3 linked regions of the Tribolium castaneum genome follow. The protein of the gene in region 3 purifies or fractionates together with the protein of the main gene of each other region. This does not show direct contact. Links are inferred from orthologs where the notes say so. Each region holds a gene or a part of one and is shown on either strand. Other genes may lie near its edges. The genes, in order: activator of 90 kDa heat shock protein ATPase homolog 1, PpD3 and Hsp83.

Region 1 (3,987 bases), on a different chromosome or scaffold from region 3:
AGTAATAAAATTTTAATTCTACCCCTTCTAGTTTTTCTCTTTTTAAAAACGTCAGCACAATAATTATTTTATTTTTTTATTAATAGTAAAATAATATACTTTAACGAATAAGTAACCTTTTCTTTTTCACTTATCATTATCAGTCATATAAATGAAATTAGAGTTTCTAACTACAGCTGACGTAGTGACGTCTAAAGCGAACTAGTACCTTTTGTTTCAATAAACTTAAGAAAAAATTCTTGTTTAGATTAATTTTTTAGAAATAATATTTTTGGATGATGATAAGTGATAACTGATAAATAACTAACAAAATTTTGTAAGCGATTTTTTTATTTTTGAAAGGTGTTTTTGTACAGCTCGTGTGACCTGAATTCAGTAGTAGCCACAGTTTCTTTAAGATATTGTTCATAAATAAAAAAATATATTATAATTTTTTTATAGTTATTGTTATTAATAATACAAGTGCGCAACCACAAGCTTAAAGTTTTAGACACCCAAGAACTTTAAGTGTTTTCGCATAAGTGTTATTCAAAATGTTTTTTGTATTAAATTATTTTTTTTTGTTTTAATTTTTTTAATTTTAAATTTAAACGTGTTTTCAATAAAATTTAAATCACGTTGCTGTGGAAAGCGTGTTTTTATATTAAATTTAAAACACGTTGATATGGGAAACAAAATTTAAAATAGTGTTTATAATCTAGATATAAATAATTCAGATATTAAAAAAAAGGTTTAAAATGTTTACAAAACATTTTCGGGAAAAATATTATTTTCAAATATTAGGTGACATATATTTCGAGTGATACCTCATTCGCTGTTCAAAAAAAAAAATACGCCTGGAAGTATTTTTTTTATGGACCAACAGTATTATATTCTCATTCCACAGGGTTTCGCGTGGATGTTATGCTGTTGTAACTAGCATGTGTCTCTAAGGAGAGTTGGTAAAATTCTCAGTAAAGGTGCAAAAACCAAATGGATTTATTTCATTTTTTGAAATAAGTAATAATTACTGCTATGTAGATTTTTTCGAAAACTTGATGTGATTCAGAAAAAGTGGTGGTGGATTTATTATCAACATCACCAATTAGTAAGAAATAACAACAATATTATTGGAAGCACCAAAAGTCATCTCGGCCTGTGTAATTAGTAAAATTCTTTTGACTTATAATAATTAGGTAAATCATAATTTAATTATAACTCAAAAGTAGATGTATTGAGATTTTGTCCCGAACAAGCTTGTGATTTTTTCGTTTGCATTTTTGCTTCTTAATATAAGAATGATAATTAGTTTAGTAGTAACAAAATTTAAGAAGTATAGAAAATTGCTGATGCTGACCATCAGCATTTTTTCCAAAAGAATGATCGTAATTAGTGTTTTTTTGGCGTTATAATTTTTTTTAATTTTTTTATATAAAACACAAATTATTTGTTGTTTTGTTTTTTCGTTTTTTTTAAATATCTTTTAACTTAAAAAAAAATTGAAATTAAGCAATTGTGGAATTAGTATAGACAACACAAAATACACAAGTGTGTAATTCACATTTCTGCCATCTGCTCAAATTTTCTGAAACTAAAATTGACAATTTGCCATTCGCTAAATTCCGATGGTGAAGAAATTCTAGAAAAATCTTCACACTTATAGAAAAGAAGACTTGAAATTGATAGAACATTCGTCAAAGTGCATTACTGGAGGCTTCGTGTGTCTTGTGAATCGAGAGCAGTTCCATTCATTAATTTTTTAATTTACCGAATTGTACTCACTGGGAAAAGGCGCTCATTTTATTATACCTGCAGTTTACAGGTAAATCATTAATTATTTCGCCCAAATTTGCTTATTTTTCTGTGCGGAAACTCTAGTTTGAGTGTATAACAGGCGAGATCACCTTTTTTTCGTCTTTTTCTACACTTAACCTAAAAACACAATGGCCAAATGGGGCGAGGGTGACCCACGATGGATTGTGGAAGAACGACCAGACGCAACAAATGTCAACAACTGGCACTGGACGGAAAAAAATGCCGGTCCTTGGTCAGTGGAACGCATAAAAGAGTTATTTAAAGGTGTGCCAGTAAAAACTGACTTAGCAGACATTCAGTTCACAGAGATAGATAAATGTGAAGGGGAGGCTTCTGCTAATAATAGGAAAGGCAAGCTCATATTTTTTTACGAGTGGGATTTGAGCATTAAGTGGACTGGAAAGTTGAAAAATGGGAGCAAAAGCTACTCAGGCAAGGTGAAAATACCCAACCTTTCCGAGGAAAATGATGTCTCAGAGCTGGATGTAAGTGATATTCTATCTTTTCTTATTTGAAATTGTGTTGGCAACGCTGTACTATCTGGTGATTGATGTTGCCAACTTAATTTCAAAGTCGTAGCTTACTTTGACCTGATACATTTTTTGTGCAGATCAAGGTTTCTGTGAAAGATTCGGACGAGGAGGGCGACAAGCTGAAGGAAATTATGTTGAAATCCTGCAAAGATGTCGTCCGACACCAACTCACCAAATACATTTCGAGTTTAAAAGAAGAATTTTCCAAAGGCATGATTTTGCCGAAAAAAGATGAGGTCAAACCAGACGCGGTCAAAAATCTTTCGAGTGGTTTTAACAAAAAAATCAGCATGACACCAGTCGTCAGCGAAAATAACAAACAAATCGGACTTAAACTAGACGTAACAACGATAAACATAACTCAACAGTTTCAATGTCGGGCGCAAGAATTTTACGATGCTTTGACAAAAATCGAAATGGTGACGGCGTTTACCAGGGCACATGTAAAAATGGATGCTTCTAAAGGCGGTAAATTCGAATTATTCAACGGAAATATTGTTGGGCAGTTTGATGAGTTGGTACCAGGGAAAAAAATCGTGCAACAGTGGAGGTATAAACAGTGGCCTGAGGGCCACTATTCAACTGTAACTTTCAATATTAATGAAAAGGTATTTCGATGATTTCTGGTTTTATTGTTTTTTCTTATTTTATTTTTTTAGAGTGATCACACTGAAGTCAATGTGGTACAATCAGGCGTACCAACAGGTGAAGCAGAAGTTACTAAGGAAAACTGGCAGAGGTACTACTGGGACTCCATGAAGCGGGCGTTTGGTTTTGGAGCATTCATTGTTTAATGTTAATTGTACATTATTAGAACCAATTATTTTTATAGTTACGAACCAGCCACTTTTTACAGCATAGTGTATACTTAATTTATTTGAAAAGCTTCAACATTTTGTTACAACATATTTGTAAAATTACTGTGAGGACGAATAAAATTTGAACACCACTGTTTTATTCAAACGCTGCGCTAATACATTACGCAGGCAGCTATGAACGTTGCCAACGTAAACCGAATCTACACAAAAGTAAATTCTTTCTTGTGAATTATGAGTATTATGACTTGCTAGAAAAAAAGGGGGCGCAATATCATTTCCAACACATCAGCCAAGTGTGTTTTCCTAATTTTATCTATTCTATTAAATAATTCTTGCACCAACCTCTAATTCCAAAAGTTACTGTTGTATTGATTTTGTGATACCACGTGACTCTTCCGCACTGTCACTTGTGAATTAATTTTGGTTTTTGAAAAAAAATGAATTCAAATAAAGTCACAATTAAATTAAAAATCCGCAGATACGAGACTGGTAAGTAGGTAAAAAATTAGTTTGTAAGCGTTCGTTACAAATTAATTTAGGACTCCCTGAAATTACTGAAAAAATAATGGAAGTCAGTCCAGATTTGGAATACAATGCTTTGAAGAAGGAAATTCACGACATTTGTGAGATAGGGCCTGAGGATAACAAAGTAATCAAACTGCGACGTGATGACGAGGTCCTGATCCCTCTCTCATTCTTGTTGGAATCAAGTGATCCTGACAAGTATGAAAAGGTTACAAAAACACTTGTTCGCCCATAATTGTGGTTTTTAGGTACTTTTTCATTGACATTTGCAAGATTAATTATGCAAGTGAGTACCACTGAACTAAGTTTGCAAGCCT
Region 2 (4,665 bases), on a different chromosome or scaffold from region 3:
AGCTTTCAGAATCATATAAAGAATAACGCGATTTCTGAAACAATTATTTTAAATAATTAGGCGAACATGTACTAGTACTACTTGGGCGTTCGTGGGACCATTTTCTGGGACCAATTTGCCTTTGCTGTTGGTAGTGTAAATTAGGGCCTCAACTGCGGTTGCTTCATCCGGAAAGCTCTTATTGTGAGGCGTAATTTCTTCTTCTTCTATCACCGATTCATTATGGTCTTTTTCTTCGTCTGAGTCGCTGTTTATTCTTGATATTCTTTTTAATTTCTTTTTAGCAACGTCGGAATTAGCAATGGAAGTTTTTTCCTCGTCATCTGAGGGCTCTGCCAATGCTGGGGGCGCCTTCTCGTTCAAATCATTTTCTTCAGCTTCTGAGTCGCTATCAATAACATTGTGCTTTTTTCGTACTTTGTTCACGTTCAGTGTATTCATTTCGTTTTCATCTTCTGAATGTTCACTTAATTTATCTTCTGTTATTTCCATTTTTTAAAGAGAAACATTAACCTAACTTGACACAACAAACTTTTTCGCGCGCTTAGTTTGACACGCAGCTCGCCAACCCAATAAACAGAAATCACCAAGCTTTCTGAGCGCCAGAATTCAAAACTTGTGTGTAGTGGGAACTTTCTGGTCCGCTACATTAGTGCTGATCGTGGTGATTAAATAAAAGACGTGTAAAAAGTGTAGTAGAATTTTTATTGCTATTGTATAAGTCACAATGAAGGAAACTTGGTAATAAATAAATATTTTATTTACTTTAAGTCTAGAGGTATCTTTTCGATTATGATACAAAATTAAATAACAGAAACAATAAAAACTCATTTTAATACAAAAAAATAAAAGTGATGAAATGCCTACGTTAACTACATTAAAAAGGCAGGTACTAGCACATTAAACTTAGTAAAGAGTGTGCGTACGCCATTGGTTTTACGTTTGGATGGGGCTGGAAGAACAAAAATGTAGGTTTTAAATTAAAAAATGTACAACACATACCACTGCTTCATATGTAGTAAACTTAGGCTCCATATCTTTTCCTTTTAATGTAATAAAAGCACCTTGATTACCCATGGTATCACTAAAAAAATAATTAAGAAAAACATTTTTTCGAAAATTAATTTACCAATAGTTAGGAGCGGAAAACACAGTGATACATTTTCCATCATGAGCGACTTCGTATCCGTTATTTTTCACTTCATGACTTCTAATGATGTAATCCAGTTTATTTAATTCCAAAAACCTCTTCGTAACATCTGGTCCAAATTGACATCCAACTCCTCTTTTACTGGGCGCGCGTCCATTCTGAGTCTGAGGGTCTGACCAAAGCAGCTCACACATGGGGCCGTCTTCGGGGGGCTGTCTGTTGCGGTCAATTTTACTAATTTCACTTAAGGTAACATCGTCAGTCGAAAACAGACCGCCATGCATCACCTATAAATTTTTCTCATAGCAATAGTTGCCAGAAATTTCGTCAAATACAAAGCTCCAAAATCGCAAATTTTACCAAAAATGGTTTGAATTTGCCTTATTGGGGTGTTTAAGCTTGTATTTTATTTAAAAACTAAAGGTTATTTTGAAAAATTTCCCTAAAACCATTTGAGAAAAGTCAGAAGCCAATTATTTTGTAAAATTTCGTTAAAAATGAGGCAATAAGATCACCAAATTATGTCTAAAGTTCGGTTATTTAAGCTTATCCTGAGTTATTTCACGAGATTTTTTAAACCAAACCATCGAAATAGTCCAAGTTTTTTTTAATATCACTTACAAGAACTCTTTTATTCAAACAGTGAGCTAGTGGTAACCAGTTGTAAACCTCAGTGAAAAGTTCAGCCATTTGAGCGGTGTATTTAGCCTTGACCTCGCCATCGAAACCATACATTTGGTTCATTGTAGCGCTTTCGTGATTTCCTGTGTAAAGAAAATAAAATAATAATAGTCCAAAAGGTGCGTAATTATACCTCTGGACATGAAAAAGTGATTCGGATACAACAGTTTAAACCCAAAAAGGGTAAAAATACATTCAACAGAAAATGAACCTCTGTCAACAAAGTCTCCATTGAAGAGGTAGGGATTTGTTTCAGACGGTAAACCGTTCAAGTTAAAAATGTTCATAAGGTCGTAGAATTGACCATGGACATCACCACAAACAGTAAACTTATCCTCATCACCAATCTCAACATCAATCAGTGACGGCTGTTTCATAAAATACGCCTTAACATCCAACAAAATCTAAAATAAAAAATTAACACGTCTTGAATCAAAGGGCGAAGTGTTACTTTGTAGGCGTATTTCCTGTGCAGCTTGCCTTGATTCTTGTACAATTCCATTAAATCCTTCATGAATTTTAAAGTCACTTTTCCATCCTCAAGCTCAGGCCCCGTGTACTCGTTCTCTATTGCTGTGAAAACATTCACAAATGTGTTTTCCCCCCAAATAAAAACTTACTCATTGCATCTAAATTAATAGTACTGGCGATATTCTTTTTGGTATCTTCGACCGAAATGGCCTTCTCGAAGGCCAATTTCTTCACTATTTTGTTACACTCCGTATATTTGGACTTGGCGTCTTTGTCATTAGGTCTCACTTTTGTCACCTAGGGCCAATTTAGGGCTACAATGTGCCACAAAGGGGCCGCAACTTACATATTCGTAGTCCTTCAGGGCCTCCTTAAACTTGCCCAAGCTCATGTGGGCCGCCGCCCGCCTGTAAAACCCCTTAACGTAGCCTTTGTCCAGCTCAATTGCCTTCGAAGCATCGGCTAAAGCGTAGCCGAAGCACTCAGTTTTCAAGTAGGCAAAACTGCGATTCCCGTAATAGATCGCAACATTCGGATTTGCTTCGATTGCTTTAGTGTAAAGTTCTATAGCGGCGTTGTAATTTTGTTCTGAAATTGAGGAAAAAAAGTGGGGTTATGTCAAATTCACGCCGGAATTTGCGAAATTCTCGCAGCGAATTCGAGCGGAATCGCGAAATACGGCTAAATGAATTGAGTATGAGGTTGTTATTTTGCAAATCATGTGGGTTTTGAGTAAATAACGAGGGGAACTTACTTTTAAAGTACTCGTTCGCTTCGGCTTTGTAGCGCTCGCCGGCTTCAACTAGTTCGGGGGTAATAACACAGTTTTCTTTAACTTCTGTGTTCATTTTTATTTAATTTTGTACCTTAGTTTTAGAAATTGGATGAAAAAGTCTTTAAAATCCCTTCATTACTTATCAAGGTAAAAAAATAGAGGATTTGTGTTTGCGCTGGAGTTGCCAACATAAACACGCCCGCCATATTCAAACAACTGCCATTACTCAAAACAATTTATTAAAAATCACACCAAAATACTCAATTTTAACACCTTTGGCTTGGTTTTAACATAAAAACAGTCATTAGCTTTTAAAGCTTATTTTTTAAGTGGAGCTGAACACTTTCGAATTTCTCTTGGAGCACCTGTGCCGGAGTCACATATTGCTCTGAAAATATACACACTTAGGGCAAATACACATAAATGGCCAAACTCACCTAATCTATTTTTAATAAATAATACTTTAGTATCATTAATTTCATAAGTAACACTGCCGCTCCTAGAACAATCAATTAATTTCGAAGAAAAAAACAATAAAACCCGTACTTTCTACTTTTTGTCAAAACATTTTGACCCGCAAGCGCATTCAAACAATTGGTAATTGTGTCCAAACTTAAGGAATAAGGATGGATAAATCCTTTACCTTCATTTATCTTTATTTCAATTTCTTCCTGAACTTTGGCCAAAATTGTTTTCTCTTCAATAACACGTGATAACTGTAATAATAGTTTATAAAAAATGCAGCACAAGTTAAGTAATTTACCTCCAAAATAACCGAACACACCACAAAATAAGTAAAAATAAAACAATCAATACAGTTATAAATAATTTCTTCCAACTGTTTATTTTCACCGAGATCATATAATTCTTGGTTTCTGCTCAATAAATTTAAATCGACCGCATGTGCTAACGCTGAAGTGAATTCCTAAAAGAAATAACTCACTGGTGAAGCTGCAATATTAAAAAATAAAACTACAGTGTAACCTCTCTAAGCCGAACAAAGCCAAGAGTTTTAAAAAATAACAAAAACGAGAAATTCAAATGTAGAAAGACAAAGTTCGGATCGTAGAGGTTCCACTGTATCGAAAAGAAAAACCCACACACCATTTTTTCCCTGGTGTTAAAAGTAACAAACTCCTGGGACAACAGAGACCTCAGAAAGTGATAATTCGCAAAAAGTTCATCTGTACAGAAAGAATGCAATTACCCACATGCTATTTAGTGGAAGATTCTAACTACAATTTTAACTCAACTCAAAAATTACCTTGACTTTGGGCCCTTTGGTGTTTTACGATCAGTACTAAGACGGCCAAGTCCACGAAATAATGCAAAGTCGGGTTAATATAAATTTGTAAGAGCATAAACGGAACCGAAAACGTGATTGTCTTTTCTGAGAGTTCGTGAGCTTTCAATTTGGATACATTGACTTTGCCCACAACGATTTCATCCCAGACCAGAGTGACTTTTCCTTCCTCATTAACTCTGACGAAATTGTTGTGGACTTCTAAAGCCTCTAGCACGCATTTTCTTGGGTCATCCATGAAGACGTAAGCTCCGAACTTTTCAATGACTTTTTTCAGCCCCAAAA
Region 3 (4,843 bases):
GAAATTAGAAGAGGGCGATCAGGCAACGCACTCTAAATTTACGTTATGCAATGGTCGTGTTTATCGGGTAAAAGATGGAAAGTGGCGATTGTATGTACCTGTCGATTTAAGATTTGATATAATTAGTAACGCTCATAGAGAACTTATGCATTTGGGAATAGATAAAACGTTGGACAAAATAAAAGAGAGCTACTATTTTCCAAAAATGCGGGAAGAGGTAGGAAAATATATCAATCGATGCATTAACTGTTTGTATAGTAAGACACCGCGCGGGAGGCAACCGGGAATGCTGCACCCGTTAGACAAAGGCAGTACTCCGTTTCAGGTGGTGCATATCGACCATTTGGGCCCTTTTCCGTCAAGTAAAACAGGAAACAAATACGTATGCGCTATTATAGACGGCTTTAGTAAGTACACAGTATTAAAAGCGCTGCCGGATGTAGGAGCCGAGGGAACTCTTAGTTTTTTGAAAGAATTCGTTTCTAATTATGGAAAGCCCAATAAAATAATTAGCGACAGAGGTACAGCGTTCATTTCGAAGTTGTTCGAAAAATTTTGCGGTGATTGTGAAATCCAACACGTAAAAATTGCAACAGCAAGTCCTAGATCGAATGGACAAGTGGAGAAAGTAAACGACGTGATAATAACATGCTTAAGTACAAGTACGGATGACATAGAAGGTAGTGATTGGGACGAAAAATTAAGCGAAGTACAATGGGCTATTAATAATGCAACCCATTCGGTCACTAAAAGAACGCCTTTTAGTTTGGTCCGGACATACACGCGAGACGGGTTCACTAATAATCCGTTAGCAGCCGAAATACGCGATTTAAATACACGCTTAAATACGGAAGAAGAGCAAAATTTAGTTGCGGATCGGCTGAAAAGAAATGCGGATCGTATGTGCGCGAATTTTAATAAATCGCGGCGTCAGGCTAGGGTTTTCAAGCAAGGGGATTTGGTGTTGGTACGGGCTGAGGTACCGTCGACCGGCCAAAGTCGTAAATTGAGCCCTAAGTATCGAGGACCCTATGAGATTGTTAAATTTATAGGGAATGATAGATATTTAGTGCAAGATATAGAAGGCGAACAACAAAGTAGTCGCTTCTATAAAGGAATTATTTCTGTAGACAGATTAAAATTAGTTAGTAATTTAGAGGAGTAATAATTAAGATAAAGTAGGTTGTACAAGTGTTAAGGGTAATGTTAAATTTTTATCGGAATTTTATTATTAGAAAAATTTGGGGACATAAGTAGAGTGTTTAGTTTCGTTATTTTAAGTTATGGTAAGTGTCATTAGGGGAATGAGTGATTAGATGGTTGGGATGTGTTCTCGAGGACGAGAACATTGTCAGGAAAGGCCGAGTTGATATGAATTCGTAGAATTGTAAGGGATGCTTGGGAGGTCCGAATGGTTAGTGTGTGTGAGGGCTTTTAGGGCGAGTGTGAAAGATGGGAAACATGTGTTAAAGATGAATGCCGAATGTCTGGATTTTTAGAAAATAAGTTAGTCTGTAACTGGCTTTTGTAGAGTAAAGTAAAATTAAAAGGTCCTGTTGAGAAGATCGTAGTTTATTTACCCTATAATCCTGACGTAATAAATTATAAACTATAACACAAATAAAACGGATTTTTCTAGAAAAATCAATAACGGTATTGCAGATTTCGAATTTCGCGCCCGATTTAGCGGAAGCAACTCATGTTCTGTCCTTGTCTATGGAAGGTTTCGAAGCGTCGGAAAGCGTCTAGATTCTTCTCGAATAATCTAGAACGCAGAAGGCTATAAAAGCAACCGAACAAACACGAATCGCTCAGAGTTGAAAAAGCAAGCGCTAAGTGAAGAGCTAAGAAGCGACAAATTTTCCAAGTGATAATTTTCCCAAAGCAATTTTCAAGTGATTTGTTCGTGTGTGCATTAATTTAAGCAAGGTAGGTGCAAATTTTCCGATTTTCCGGCCGTTTTCAGTCAAGGTTATGTCACGCCGGTGTTTGACCCCCAAGTCTGGGAAATCGTACGTTTTTCGCTAGGCTGCGGTTATTTGAGACGAGTTTATTAATCCTTTGACTATTTTTTCGAATTTGAAGACCGTTTTAGAGTTTTCCCGTTTTTTGTGTGGTTTTCTGCCAAGGTTATTCAGAGCGGTCTTTGACATTGCTACGAAATTTAATCAAATTTTCCGGACTTTTCCACGTTGTTCGGTGTCCGATTAGTCATTTTTTAGTGATTCATGAGTTCGGTGAAATTTCAAGGTCGAATTTAATTGCAGATGCCGGAAGAAAACCAAAATGGAGATGTGGAAACCTTCGCCTTCCAGGCGGAAATCGCCCAGTTGATGAGTCTGATCATCAACACCTTCTACTCGAACAAGGAAATTTTCCTTCGGGAGTTGATTTCCAATTCGTCAGATGCGTTGGATAAAATCCGTTACGAGTCCTTGACCAACCCTTCCAGACTCGATTCAGGCAAAGAACTCTACATCAAGATCATCCCTAACAAGAATGACGGGACCTTGACCATTATTGACACCGGGATCGGGATGACTAAAGCCGATTTGGTCAATAACTTGGGCACCATCGCCAAGTCCGGCACCAAAGCCTTCATGGAGGCCCTCCAAGCTGGGGCTGACATCAGCATGATCGGTCAATTCGGTGTTGGTTTCTACTCGGCTTACTTGGTAGCAGACAAGGTCACAGTCGTTTCGAAGAATAACGATGATGAGCAATACGTTTGGGAGTCGTCAGCTGGTGGTAGCTTCACTGTAACACAAGACCGTGGCGAGCCTTTGGGCCGTGGCACCAAGATTGTCCTTCACATGAAAGAGGACCAAACCGAATTTTTGGAAGAACACAAAATTAAAGAAATTGTAAAGAAACACTCGCAGTTCATTGGCTATCCCATCAAATTGGTCGTGGAGAAGGAACGCGAGAAGGAGTTGAGCGACGATGAGGCCGAAGAAGAGAAGAAGGAGGAAGAAGGCGAAGACAAGGATAAAGATAAGCCAAAGATTGAGGATGTAGGCGAGGACGAAGATGAAGACACGAAGAAGGAAGATAAGAAAAAGAAGAAGACTATTAAGGAGAAATACACAGAAGATGAAGAATTGAACAAAACCAAGCCGATTTGGACAAGAAACGCTGACGATATCAGTCAGGAAGAATACGGAGAGTTTTACAAATCGTTGACTAATGATTGGGAGGACCATTTGGCCGTCAAACACTTTAGTGTTGAGGGTCAATTGGAGTTCCGTGCCCTCCTCTTTGTCCCACGTCGCGTTCCATTCGATCTTTTCGAAAATAAGAAGCGCAAGAATAATATTAAATTATACGTGAGGAGGGTTTTCATTATGGACAACTGCGAAGAACTCATCCCCGAATATTTGAACTTTATCAAGGGTGTCGTCGATTCGGAAGACTTGCCTTTGAACATTTCCCGTGAGATGTTGCAACAAAATAAGATCTTGAAGGTCATTCGTAAGAATTTGGTCAAGAAATGCCTAGAGTTGTTCGAGGAGTTGGCCGAGGATAAGGACGGCTACAAGAAATTCTACGAACAGTTCTCGAAGAATATTAAATTGGGTATTCATGAAGACTCGCAAAACCGGGCCAAATTGTCCGAATTGCTCCGTTATCACACTTCTGCAAGTGGCGATGAGGCTTGCTCTTTGAAGGACTACGTGAGCCGCATCAAGCCTAACCAGAAACACATTTATTACATTACTGGCGAAAGCAAGGAGCAAGTGGCGAATTCGTCGTTCGTTGAGAGGGTCAAGAAGCGCGGTTTCGAGGTCGTTTACATGACTGAGCCCATTGATGAATACGTCGTACAACAAATGAAAGAATTCGACGGCAAAACTCTCGTTTCGGTCACAAAGGAAGGTCTCGAATTGCCTGAAGACGAAGAAGAGAAGAAGAAGCGCGAAGAAGACAAAGCCAAATTTGAAGGACTTTGCAAGGTTATGAAGAGTATCCTCGATAATAAGGTTGAGAAGGTCGTGGTATCGAACCGTCTAGTCGAATCTCCCTGCTGTATTGTTACGTCGCAGTATGGCTGGACCGCCAACATGGAACGTATCATGAAAGCCCAAGCTTTGAGAGACACCTCCACTATGGGCTACATGGCGGCCAAGAAACACCTCGAAATCAACCCCGACCATTCAATCATCGAGAATTTGAGGCAGAAGGCTGAGGCTGATAAGAATGACAAGGCTGTTAAAGACTTGGTTATTCTTTTGTTTGAAACCGCTTTACTCAGCTCTGGGTTCACCTTGGATGAGCCTCAAGTCCACGCATCCAGGATCTACAGGATGATCAAGCTGGGTCTGGGTATTGATGAGGAGGAAGCCATGATCACCGAAGATGCACAAGGAGGCGATGCACCCTCTGCTGATGCCGCCGAGTCCGAGGACGCGTCGAGGATGGAGGAAGTTGATTAAGTGTTCGAATGTTAGGACATGTGTTCTAGTATGTTCTAATTGTCATTCCTAGTGTTTTTTTATATTTCTTAATTATTTTTATAAAAAATGAAGTATTATTTTGGCGGCCTACCGCCGCCGTGTTAACACCTGTAAAAGTCTGAGTTCGTTTTTTGTGAATAAAATTGATTTAATTAATTTCTTGGTTTTATTTGAACGCCTTTAACAAATAATTGTTGAAAAGCAAAAAATCCATCACAAATTGGGCTTGGCTTCGCAAAATCAAGTCACGTGACACATTTGACAGATGTTTGAGTGAATCTTAACCTTAAAAATGGAACCGGACGAAAAACACAAGAGCCAAAAGCCGGCCCCTACAGGTAACACGCTCCCAAAGTGAGACTTTTAGTCCAATTTTGCGTTTCTAGACG

Evidence for each region.
Region 1: the proteins of Hsp83 (region 3) and activator of 90 kDa heat shock protein ATPase homolog 1 fractionate together in Caenorhabditis elegans (co-fractionation; 3 studies listed by BioGRID, with this or other methods). This does not show direct contact. The link is inferred for Tribolium castaneum from reciprocal best matches to the Caenorhabditis elegans genes hsp-90 and ahsa-1.
Region 2: the proteins of Hsp83 (region 3) and PpD3 fractionate together in Caenorhabditis elegans (co-fractionation; 3 studies listed by BioGRID). This does not show direct contact. The link is inferred for Tribolium castaneum from reciprocal best matches to the Caenorhabditis elegans genes hsp-90 and pph-5.

The regions. Positions count from the first base shown.
Region 1 is NC_087397.1:10,675,578-10,679,564, reverse strand, and holds activator of 90 kDa heat shock protein ATPase homolog 1, read left to right. Parts: upstream 1-1,568; 5' UTR 1,569-1,801; intron 1,802-1,857; exon of another isoform or gene 1,858-1,873; 5' UTR 1,874-1,922; coding exon 1,923-2,279; intron 2,280-2,404; coding exon 2,405-2,935; intron 2,936-2,986; coding exon 2,987-3,121; 3' UTR 3,122-3,276; downstream 3,277-3,987. Other genes in the region: uncharacterized protein LOC103315037, read left to right, coding at 3,583-3,634, 3,685-3,868, 3,919-3,956.
Region 2 is NC_087396.1:11,944,230-11,948,894, forward strand, and holds PpD3 (serine/threonine-protein phosphatase 5), read right to left. Parts: upstream 3,252-4,665; 5' UTR 3,151-3,251; coding exon 3,057-3,150; intron 2,891-3,056; coding exon 2,649-2,890; intron 2,600-2,648; coding exon 2,452-2,599; intron 2,405-2,451; coding exon 2,283-2,404; intron 2,236-2,282; coding exon 1,965-2,235; intron 1,915-1,964; coding exon 1,772-1,914; intron 1,438-1,771; coding exon 1,130-1,437; intron 1,085-1,129; coding exon 1,003-1,084; intron 953-1,002; coding exon 893-952; 3' UTR 687-892; downstream 1-686. Other genes in the region: claspin, read right to left, coding at 1-34, 82-492; Gnpat (dihydroxyacetone phosphate acyltransferase), read right to left, coding at 3,389-3,465, 3,515-3,576, 3,624-3,793, 3,841-4,002, 4,182-4,261, 4,342-4,665.
Region 3 is NC_087398.1:3,475,491-3,480,333, reverse strand, and holds Hsp83 (heat shock protein 90), read left to right. Parts: upstream 1-1,821; 5' UTR 1,822-1,929; intron 1,930-2,267; coding exon 2,268-4,433; 3' UTR 4,434-4,610; downstream 4,611-4,843. Other genes in the region: GPI transamidase component PIG-S, read left to right, coding at 4,747-4,792, 4,841-4,843. UniProt on the Caenorhabditis elegans protein: Molecular chaperone that promotes the maturation, structural maintenance and proper regulation of specific target proteins involved for instance in cell cycle control and signal transduction. Undergoes a functional cycle that is linked to its ATPase activity.